3 linked regions of the Xenopus tropicalis genome follow. The protein of the gene in region 2 interacts with the protein of the main gene of each other region in a pairwise test. Links are inferred from orthologs where the notes say so. Each region holds a gene or a part of one and is shown on either strand. Other genes may lie near its edges.

What was found. The genes of interacting proteins can lie anywhere in the genome.
Region 1: the proteins of lmna (region 2) and bnip3l interact in a two-hybrid assay, tested with the Homo sapiens proteins (2 studies listed by BioGRID and IntAct). The link is inferred for Xenopus tropicalis from reciprocal best matches to the Homo sapiens genes LMNA and BNIP3L.
Region 3: the proteins of lmna (region 2) and iffo1 interact in binary tests that used the Homo sapiens proteins (3 or more experiments, as listed by UniProt). The link is inferred for Xenopus tropicalis from reciprocal best matches to the Homo sapiens genes LMNA and IFFO1.

What each region holds. Positions count from the first base shown.
Region 1 is NC_030679.2:127,988,476-127,992,637, reverse strand, and holds the start of bnip3l (BCL2/adenovirus E1B 19 kDa protein-interacting protein 3-like), read right to left. Parts: upstream 2,804-4,162; 5' UTR 2,796-2,803; coding exon 2,750-2,795; intron 2,709-2,749; exon of another isoform or gene 2,628-2,708; coding exon of another isoform or gene 2,534-2,627; intron 1-2,533.
Region 2 is NC_030684.2:142,913,672-142,916,017, forward strand, and holds the end of lmna (lamin), read right to left. Parts: intron 1,107-2,346; coding exon 843-1,106; intron 648-842; coding exon 618-647; 3' UTR 505-617; downstream 1-504.
Region 3 is NC_030683.2:10,038,211-10,042,424, forward strand, and holds the start of iffo1 (intermediate filament family orphan 1), read right to left. Parts: upstream 2,804-4,214; 5' UTR 2,593-2,803; coding exon 2,033-2,592; intron 1-2,032. UniProt on the Homo sapiens protein: Nuclear matrix protein involved in the immobilization of broken DNA ends and the suppression of chromosome translocation during DNA double-strand breaks (DSBs).

The DNA.
Region 1 (4,162 bases), on a different chromosome or scaffold from region 2:
TCACACACACCAACCCAGTGTGATCATGATCCAATCACCCCATAGGCAAATGGCGGGTCAATATGTATCTATATCTTTATTTCTGAAGTGCTACTTATGTACCCAGCACTGTACAGTAGAACAATAGATTAATGCAACAGGGGGGTTATTAAAATAATAATCGATAAATACAAAGAACAATAAATACAAGGTACAGTTGTAATAAATCAAAAAGACAAGAGGATGGAGGTCCCTGCCCCGCAGAGCTTACAGTCTAAATGGGAGGGTAACTTACAGACACAAATAGGAGAATATAAGTGCTGTAAGGTAAATAAGAACTTCACAGTGAAAGTGTGGGTCACTTAGGTATTGTCTGACCATTCCTCACAAGCAATGAAGGTCTAGAAACCCACAGAAATCAATAAGTAGTATTTACTAGCCACCCACTTTAAACTCAAAACCACTTGGTTGGTTACTATGGGTTACTCGAACGGTGTAAACACTTATGATCTTATGATAGTGTCCCCAAAGGTGCAGCTACAATGAAACATATGCCACACACCTACCCCGCTGTCTCAGCGTCCAACATCAACATCACCAGATTTCTGGCAAACACAGCGCAATACATATTCAAATGCTTCCTCTGACAGTTAGGCATGTAAACATAACAAAGAGAAGCCTGAAAGGGGAACTATCACAAAGGCATAAATGCAACAGAAGCCTCATTTCATGAGACCAAAACTTTCTCCTAAACGACTACTTTCTATTACCAATAAGATGAAGCTTAAATTCAGAAAGAAAAACAGTTATGGGACATTACAGCTGCAGTGAATGGATTCATAGAAATAGTATATATTTTTCCCTAAAGATGATGTAGTGACTGACACACGTTTGGCCATGTTACATAACCATATAAAAAACAAATAAACAGAACCTGGGCTAGCTAGAGAAAACAATGAACTGCCAGGTACAGGTATGGCTTTCCTTATCCGGAAACCCATTATCGGAAAGGCCGTCTCCCATAGACTCCATTATAAGCAAATAATTCTGACATTTAAAAATGATTCCTTTTTTTCTATAATAATAATAAAACAGAACCTTGTTCTTGATCCCAACTAAGATATAATTACCCCTTATTGGGGGCAGAACAGCCCTATTGGATTTATTTAATGGTTAAATGATTCCCTTTTCTCTGTAATAATAAAACAGTACCTGTACTTGATCCCAACTAAGATATAATTAATCCTTATTGGGGGCAAAACAAGCCTATTGGGTTTATTTAATATTTAAATGATTTTTAGCAGACAAGTTATGGAGATCCAAATTACTGAAAGATCCCTTATCCAGAAAACCTCAGGTCCAGAGCATTCTGGATAACAGGTCCCATACCTGTACATGTATAACACCAACATTGTCCCAATATAAACCAATATCACTGGCTATGACTACCAGATTTATTATAATCTCACTCTCCTGCAATTAGGCAGTCATAATACAGAGTGCTACAGTAAAATGTCTTATTTGGAATATTTTTCATAGGGCTAGCCCTGGCATGCCGTCTCTTGGCCGGGAGTGTCCAAAGGATTACATGACTAACAACATGCCAAAAGTCTTGCTACCATGCAATTGTATGCATTATAAAACACACACACACATACCTCTCTAAAGGTGGCCATACACGGGCTGATTGCAGCTGCCGATATCGGCCCCTTAGAGCGATTTTGTACCTTATTGGCCTGTGTAGTGGCCCTAACAACAGGCCTGCCCGACCGATATCTGGCCTGAAATTGGGCAGGTTAAAAAATTTAGTAGGATCGGGGACCACATCGGCTCGTTGATGCGGTCCCCGAACCAACTGTGCCTATTACCGGCGCTCTAATTCGATTGTTTGGCCCCAGGGCCAAACGACCAAATTAGCCTAAATTCACCAAATTTGGGAGATCCGCTCGCTTGTATGGCCACCTTTAGTCATCAGTCTAAGGCTGAGGTCCCCAAACTTACCGGCCTTTGAGCCACATTCAAATATAAAAAGACTTGTGGGGCAACAAAATACAGCATATTAGAAGTGAATGAGGCAGAGGTGACTTCTAATATCCTTATATTTGACAACAGGGGGTATATTATTTCTTATAATAAACACATTTCAGCAAGTCATGTGAAAGATGACATCATTAAGGAGCATTTCTAAGGATACAAGGTACAGAACAGCCAAGGCTCCTGTGTATTAGAAATATATATTAAACATGATCTGAAAGATACATAGTAACATATATTTAAAGTAAATAACAGATGGCAAGTGTTTGGCGATGACAGTGAGTGTACATGAAGCTATAGGCTGGCCCGTACATAAACACACACGTCATCATTCCCACACACCCACCCGTGTAAGTGTGCCTCGGCACTGGCAGCCACATGACTGGGCACATGTATGAAGCACTAATAGCGAAACCATCACACTATCAAGCTCTTTGATATGAATAAAGTACAGTAACCCACAACAACAATGCAGCGCCGCTTCTCCCTCTAGTCTAGTCCATGTAAGCTCCGCCCTTACCTACACCTAAATCTCCCATTGGACCGCATCCGTCATTCCAAGTTCCAGTCCCGCCTACACTCATTATCGATTGGCTCCCACAGCTGCCCATCATGGGATCCCGCCTAAGCTTCGCACCCAAACATTGTCCTGAGCTCGTTCAAATTCTCGCCGTTCGACCCAATTGACGGGCGCTGGAATCGAAACGAGGTCCTAGTTACACAATGTGCTTCTTACCGTGCAGCGCGGCCTCCTCCCCGTTGTTGTTATTGTTCTCGGACATGGCGACAGCAGCAGCTTTTAGTCTGTCCGGGAGACGGAGCCGCACTGCGCAGCCACGCCCCGTCTGACGTTAATCAGCCTCATCACCTGAGGCGGAGGGGGCGGAGTCGGCTGATCACGTGATGTTGTTAACCCGTAACGCAGTACTGCCTCTCATTTGTTGCTTCTGACAACTGTGCGATAGTTTGTTTTAAATTATGGTGTCACCTATTGTTTAGGGCAGTGATCCCCAACCAGTGGCTCAGGGGCAACATGTTGCTCCCCAACCCTTTGGATGTTGCTCTCAGTGCCCCCAAACCAGGGAGTTATTTTTGAATTCCTGACTTGGGGGCAAGTTTTGGTTGAATAAAAACAAGATTTCCTACCAAATAAAGCCCCTGTAAGCTGATAGTGTGCATAGAGGCCCCTAATAGCCAATCACAGCCCTTATTTGGCAACTCCATGAACTTTTATGGTGCTTGTGTTGCTCCCCAAGTCTTTTTACATTTGACTGTGGCTCATGGGTAAGAAAGCTTGGGGATCCCTGGTTTAGGGTCTTGTCTTATGGTCCCCATACATGGGCCGACTATAGCTGCCGATATTGGTCCCTTGGACCGATTCGGCAGCTAATCGGCCCATGTATGGGGAGAGCAGAGCGGCCTGGCCGACCGATATCTGACCTGAAATTGGCCAGATCTTGATCGGCCAGGTTAGAAAATCCGGTCGGATCGGGGACCGCATCGGCTCGTTGATGCCCCATTGCAGCCCACATAATCCCCCCAGACCCCAGGGCCAAACGATCGGATTATTCTTTTTTTTACCTAAATTCTCCCCGATATCGCCCACCTGTAGTTGGGGATATCGGGTGAAGATCCGCTCGCTTGGCGACATCGCCAAGCGAGCGGATCTGTTCGTGTATGGCCACCTTAAGCCATTTTTAAACGTATGGGACCGGTCTGCTACTGTCTAATCGCTTATAGGCTCAGCAGGGAGCATGACTGGTCAGGTGTGTAAAGGCATGGCTGAGTTGCTGTGGGTGACTGGATATGGGTGAACTTTGTGCTTTGGTGTGTTTGGTTGTTTACATATGGGGGTTATTAACACTGACACGGGAAATACTCCTACAGAAATGAGAACTTATTTTTGAGTGGCTTTAGCTGCCCCCCTAAATCACACTAAGGGGCATATTTATATATATTTATATAAAAAGCTGTGTAATATAAATGGAAAAGATCGCCGCCTGAACGCCGGATATTACGCCGTTATTTTCCATAAGTTCCAGGGGAAGAAAAAACGCGTAAAAAATTACCACCATTTTTACGCTGTTTCTACACAGCGAAGCCTGCCGATGTGTGGCGAATTTTCTCGCCGTTTTATACAAAGCATAAT
Region 2 (2,346 bases):
GCCCCTACCCCCTGGATATTGCCCCCCACCCCCTAGATATTGCCCCTACCCCCTGGACATTGCCCCCCACCCAGCAAAGAATAAAACCCCAGTGGTGCAAACAGCTAGTGGTCACTCAGAAATACTTCCTACAGTAACTACCCCACTGAGGGGCAACTGCAACAAACCAAATACAACTCCCTGCACCGTTGGTTCTGCTCTATTAGAAAACTGAATCAATTTACGTCTTTGGCATCAAACAGAGGCATTCGCCCCCCTCCCCCCAGACTGTCTGAACTACAAATCCCAGAATTCCCTGTGGGAAGTGGCAGCGCTTCCCGAGCCAGAAGGGAGTATATAGGGGCTTTAGTGCAACAATTGCCCCCCCAGTATTAGTAATGCCCCAGTCCCTCTGCACCCCAGAACCATCCATTATATGTGGGGGGGGGGGCAGATCAGAATTAACTTTGGTTTCTGCAGATACAGGTAAATGTTGCCTTTAAAAAAATGTGCATTTTTTTTTTCTTTATAAAATTCTCGCAGTATAAAATAAAAACAAAATTTTCATAAAAAAACCAAAATCTCTCTGTTTCGCTCGGGCACTTGGGCACTTGGTGACGGCGGCGTCGGGCAGCGGATTACATTATGCTGCAGCTCTGCGGGGTGACCTGTAGGTGGCGACAGAGAGACAGCATTGCATTAGGTGAATACAATCACAGGGATTTAGTGTATGCAGCTACTGCCACCTAGTGGGCAAATGGAGACGTGCAGCCTTATTATTATTATTATTATTAATTGGCCTTTACACCAGAGTTCTGGAGGTTCTGCAGGTTCTGTTCCAGATACCCCCGACTGTTACCCACCTGGGCACGCTGGCTGTCGTTCCCGACAATGTAGGTCCTGGTGACCAGACTCTCCCCGAGGGCACTGCCCCCGCTGGTTCCCCCGGTGCTGCGGTAGGTCCGGGTCAGGGTGACGCTGGAGGATGAGGAACCGGTCGAGGCCGTGGCCAAACCAGAACCCTGGGAGCCTAGAACCCCCTTCTCAGCCGGGCGCCCACAGCTGGTGCAAACGATGGTGCGAGAGCGCAGGTTGTACTCCCCGGGGTCCCCACTATTCTGCCCATCCTATGGGGGTACAGGGGGGAGTTACAGGGGGTCATAATACATGGAGCAAAGTTTCCTACTGGTCTACTATTCCCACTGCTACTATAGGCACCATCTCTCCCTACTAGACCTGCTATCCCACAGCCCCAGTCCCTTCCCAGAGGCTATTATCCCCCCACTGCTACTATAGGCACCATCTCTCCCTACTATACCTGCTATCCCACAGCCCCAGTCCCTTCCCAGAGGCTATTATCCCACTGCTACTATAGGCACCATCTCTCCCTACTATACCTGCTATCCCACAGCCCCAGTCCCTTCCCAGAGGCTATTATCCCCCCACTGCTACTATAGACACCATCTCTCCCTACTATACCTGCTATCCCACAGCCCCAGTCCCTTCCCAGAGGCTATTATCCCCCCCACTGCTACTATAGGCACCATCTCTCCCTACTATACCTGCTATCCCACAGCCCCAGTCCCTTCCCAGAGGCTATTATCCCCCACTGCTACTATAGGCACCATCTCTCCCTACTATACCTGCTATCCCACAGCCCCAGTCCCTTCCCAGAGGCTATTATCCCCCCACTGCTACTATAGGCACCATCTCTCCCTACTATACCTGCTATCCCACAGCCCCAGTCCCTTCCCAGAGGCTATTATCCCACTGCTACTATAGGCACCATCTCTCCCTACTATACCTGCTATCCCACAGCCCCAGTCCCTTCCCAGAGGCTATTATCCCACTGCTACTATAGGCACCATCTCTCCCTACTATACCTGCTATCCCACAGCCCCAGTCCCTTCCCAGAGGGCTATTATCCCACTGCTACTATAGGCACCATCTCTCCCTACTATACCTGCTATCCCACAGCCCCAGTCCCTTCCCAGAGGCTATTATCCCCCCACTGCTACTATAGGCACCATCTCTCCCTACTATACCTGCTATCCCACAGCCCAGTCCCTTCCCAGAGGCTATTATACCCCCCACTGCTACTATAGGCACCATCTCTCCCTACTATACCTGCTATCCCACAGCCCCAGTCCCTTCCCAGAGGCTATTATCCCCCCCACTGCTACTATAGGCACCATCTCTCCCTACTATACCTGCTATCCCACAGCCCCAGTCCCTTCCCAGAGGCTATTATCCCACTGCTACTATAGGCACCATCTCTCCCTACTATACCTGCTATCCCACAGCCCCAGTCCCTTCCCATAGGCTATTATCCCACTGCTACTATAGGCACCATCTCTCCCTACTATA
Region 3 (4,214 bases), on a different chromosome or scaffold from region 2:
CTGTAATAATAAAACAGTACCTGTACTTGATCCCAACCAAGATATAATTACCCCTTATTGGGGGCAGAACAGCCCTATTGGGTTTATTTAATGGTTAAATGATTCCCTTTTCTCTGTAATAATAAAACAGTACCTGTACTTGATCCCAACTAAGATATAATTACCCCTTATTGGGGGCAGAACAGCCCTATTGGGTTTATTTAATGGTTAAATGATTCCCTTTTCTCTGTAATAATAAAACAGTACCTGTACTTGATCCCAACTAAGATATAATTACCCCTTATTGGGGGCAGAACAGCCCTATTGGGTTTATTTAATGGTTAAATGATTCCCTTTTCTCTGTAATAATAAAACAGTACCTGTACTTGATCCCAACTAAGATATAATTACCCCTTATTGGGGGCAAAACAAAGCTATTGGGTTTATTTAATATTTAAATAATTTTTAGCAGACTTAAGTTATGGAGATCCAAATCCCTTATCTGAAATACCCCAGGTCCCGAGCATTCTGGATAACAGGTCCCATACCTGTATGCCCCATGGGGTGCCATTTAAATAGAGACCAAGAGATCCACTTGGGCTTCTGTTCTTGTTGCCGGCCTGTCCCATTACTTTGTAAAGCTTTTTGTTACTCATCCTCATCATCATTTTTGTATATTTAGTGCCAAGTGCACTGTGGGACCATCTTCATGTTTGTTTGTAGTCTGGATCTGAGCTCCACTAACATAGTGAGGTTAGAGAGTCCCACCATCATGTCAGTAGGGCAGCTCCCACACAGGTATCATTGGGGTATAGGGGCAGTTAATGAAGCCTAATGGCATCTTAGAGATAGGGCAGCTCCCACACAGGTGTCATTGGGGTATAGGGGCAGTTAATGAAGCCTAATGGCATCTTAGAGATAGGGCAGCTCCCACACAGGTGTCATTGGGGTCTAGGGGCAATTAATGAAGCCTAATGGCAGCTTAGAGATAGGGCAGCTCCCACACAGGTATCATTGGGGTCTAGGGGCAGTTAATGTCTAGGGGTTAGTTAATGAAGCCTTAGAGATAGGGCAGCTCCCAAACAGGTATCATTGGGGTCTAGGGGCAGTTAATGAAGCCTAATGGCATCTTAGAGATAGGGCAGCTCCCACACAGGTGTCATTGGGGTATAGGGGCAGTTAATGAAGCCTAATGGCATCTTAGAGATAGGGCAGCTCCCACACAGGTGTCATTGGGGTATAGGGGCAGTTAATGAAGCCTAATGGCATCTTAGAGATAGGGCAGCTCCCACACAGGTGTCATTGGGGTATAGGGGCAGTTAATGAAGCCTAATGGCATCTTAGAGATAGGGCAGCTCCCACACAGGTGTCATTGGGGTCTAGGGGCAATTAATGAAGCCTAATGGCAGCTTAGAGATAGGGCAGCTCCCACACAGGTATCATTGGGGTCTAGGGGCAGTTAATGTCTAGGGGTTAGTTAATGAAGCCTTAGAGATAGGGCAGCTCCCAAACAGGTATCATTGGGGTCTAGGGGCAGTTAATGAAGCCTAATGGCATCTTAGAGATAGGGCAGCTCCCACACAGGTGTCATTGGGGTATAGGGGCAGTTAATGAAGCCTAATGGCATCTTAGAGATAGGGCAGCTCCCACACAGGTGTCATTGGGGTATAGGGGCAGTTAATGAAGCCTAATGGCATCTTAGAGATAGGGCAGCTCCCACACAGGTGTCATTGGGGTATAGGGGCAGTTAATGAAGCCTAATGGCATCTTAGAGATAGGGCAGCTCCCACACAGGTTCCATTGGGGTCTAGGGGCAGTTAATGTCTAGGGGCAGTTAATGAAGCCTTAGAGATAGGGCAGCAGAAATGCACCATTCTGCATTGGGTACACAACACAATATATCAAAGTTTAGTTCCCCTTTAATCCTAGAAAGTTCCCCTGTGCCCCAGGCCTAGTGGCAGCTTTAGTTCAGCAACATCTGTAGCTAAGTGGCAGGCCAATATCCCCAGCTGGCAGCTGTATATATACTGTATATAGTGTGTATATGTCCTACCTCTGCTTGTAGGCGTCCCGCTCCCGCTTCACCTTGCCCAGCACATTATAGAGAGCCCGGATCTCTGGGGTGATGGTGTCAATCTGAACCCCAACTCCGTCTGAGTGACCCCAATAGGCTCCGCTGACCGTGGCCACATCACACCGGGTGCCCAGCCTGTGGGCCCCATACACCCAGGGCTGGGGGGGAGGCGCCGGGCAGGGCCGAGTGAGCCCCAATAATGGCGGAGGCAAGATGGGCCCCACAAAGCCGGTCTGTACCGCCTGCTCCCGGGTTATGGGGCCGGCCCCCTGGGCCCTCTCCAGCGCCCTCTCCAGGGAGCGGTTCCTCCGTTCCAGCTCATGCACCTTGGCCAGAAAGCAGCGGAACCGGAGGTTCAGGGTCTTCAGGACATTGATGTTGGAGCCAAAGTCATTGCGTAAAGCGCTGGCCCCCCCGGTGGGAGCATAGGGGCCCCCCAGCAGCAGGGAGCCCTGGGGGGGAGATGTGGGGCTCTCCGCCGGCTGCAGGGGGGCATCAGAGGGGAGCAGGAGCAGGTTGGGGGTTAGTAAGGGGTTCATGGCTGCTCTGAGCACTGCGGAGACAGGGGAGGAGGGGGAGGACCAGGCTGAGAGATGCGGGGGGGGGGAGGAACAGTCACATCACGGAGAGCGGCTCGGAGGGAGGAAGGTGGCACAGGGCACTGCCAGGGCACGGAGACTGCAGGTTGGCAGGGGGGATGGAGCAGCCCGGGAGAGACAACACATCCCACTGACGCGCAGAGGGAATGGAGGGATGGAAGGGGCGGGGGGGGCGCATTCCTTCCTACATCACCGCAGGCTCAGCCATACCCCAACTGCAGCGGGGAGGGGGGGGGGGGGCAGAGGGACGCTAGGAGCGGGGAAGGGACAGGGCTACAGACCCAGGGACAGTGAATTGGCCTGACAACCACTTTGTGCCCTAATGGGGGGGCAAATAAACAGCCAACATCTGGGGGGGGCAGTTCTCTCTTTCTCTCTCATTTCCCCCTTCTCTAACTGATACTTTGATTACAAAAAAACTGCGGTGATAATGTGACCACTAGAGGGCGCCGTTGCTTGTGGGGCGTCTACTGGTCCCTTGTTTTGCCTTTGCAGGGGGGTAGGTATGGCAGCTCCCACACACGGAAATAATAATATAAAGGAGGATCTCTGTGTAGAGGAAGGTGATATACAGTGGCCGCTGTCTGATAAATGATCACAAGATAATAAGGCTGTGGGTGATTTATAGGGCAAATAAAGCCATGTGAGAAGCTGCAAAATAGCCCTATGCCTTTACTTGTCCTTTAATGCAGGGGAAACAACCTGCTACCCCCCAAGGGTTTTCCAACTACAGTCTTCAAATCAAACTGCCATCTGTGCAACCAGATGGGCAATACAAACAGTGCCCACCGGCTCTTTGGCACTTTCTCCCACCCCTGCCAGGAGTCATTGCCCTGCACCCACTATCCCTGCTTTGGATGACTTCCCAGCATGCTCTGCTTTTACCAGCTTTTGTGAGACAGCTGGCCGCTGCCTGGCAGGGATGAGACAGCTGGACTGTGGCATTAGTCCTGTGTGTAATTATTCTTCTGGGAGGGGCATTTGTTAGCTGCTGGCATATTACCAGCCAAATGCAGTGTGTGTATATATTTATAAGCTAGAGTAAGCCTTCCATTTATATAATATAAATATAATCAGCCCATTCATAGGCCCCTGCCATCTGGCAGCAGCGCCCCCCCTTGTGCCAGGAGCCATAGAGTGTGTGTTGGTGCAAGTGACTGGGAGCTGCGTGGGAATGTGTATGAGACAAGCGTTGGAGGAATGCAGCGAGACCCCCAGGCACATGAGTAAGGAATTCTCTCTGCATCATTTGAAAAACAGCAGGCGTTGGTTATTATAGTCAGTTCTGTAAATCCATCAGCTGTCATACATATCCATACATAGCCAGTCAGGATCGGATTAACATGGGGGGGTGAAATGTGAGGTAGCCTCAGGCTCCTCGAAGCCAAGGCCTTATTCAACCAAGATCGAGGCACATGTGGCTTTGTATGTTACTGCCACTGTGTGTAAATGTAGATGTAGTTTGGTTCCCTGTAGATTGTTGCTGAGTTACCCTATTTAAACTTCAACTCAGTGCTGGTATCAGAAATCATAGTGTCCCATTCTACTTAGCTGCCAACATG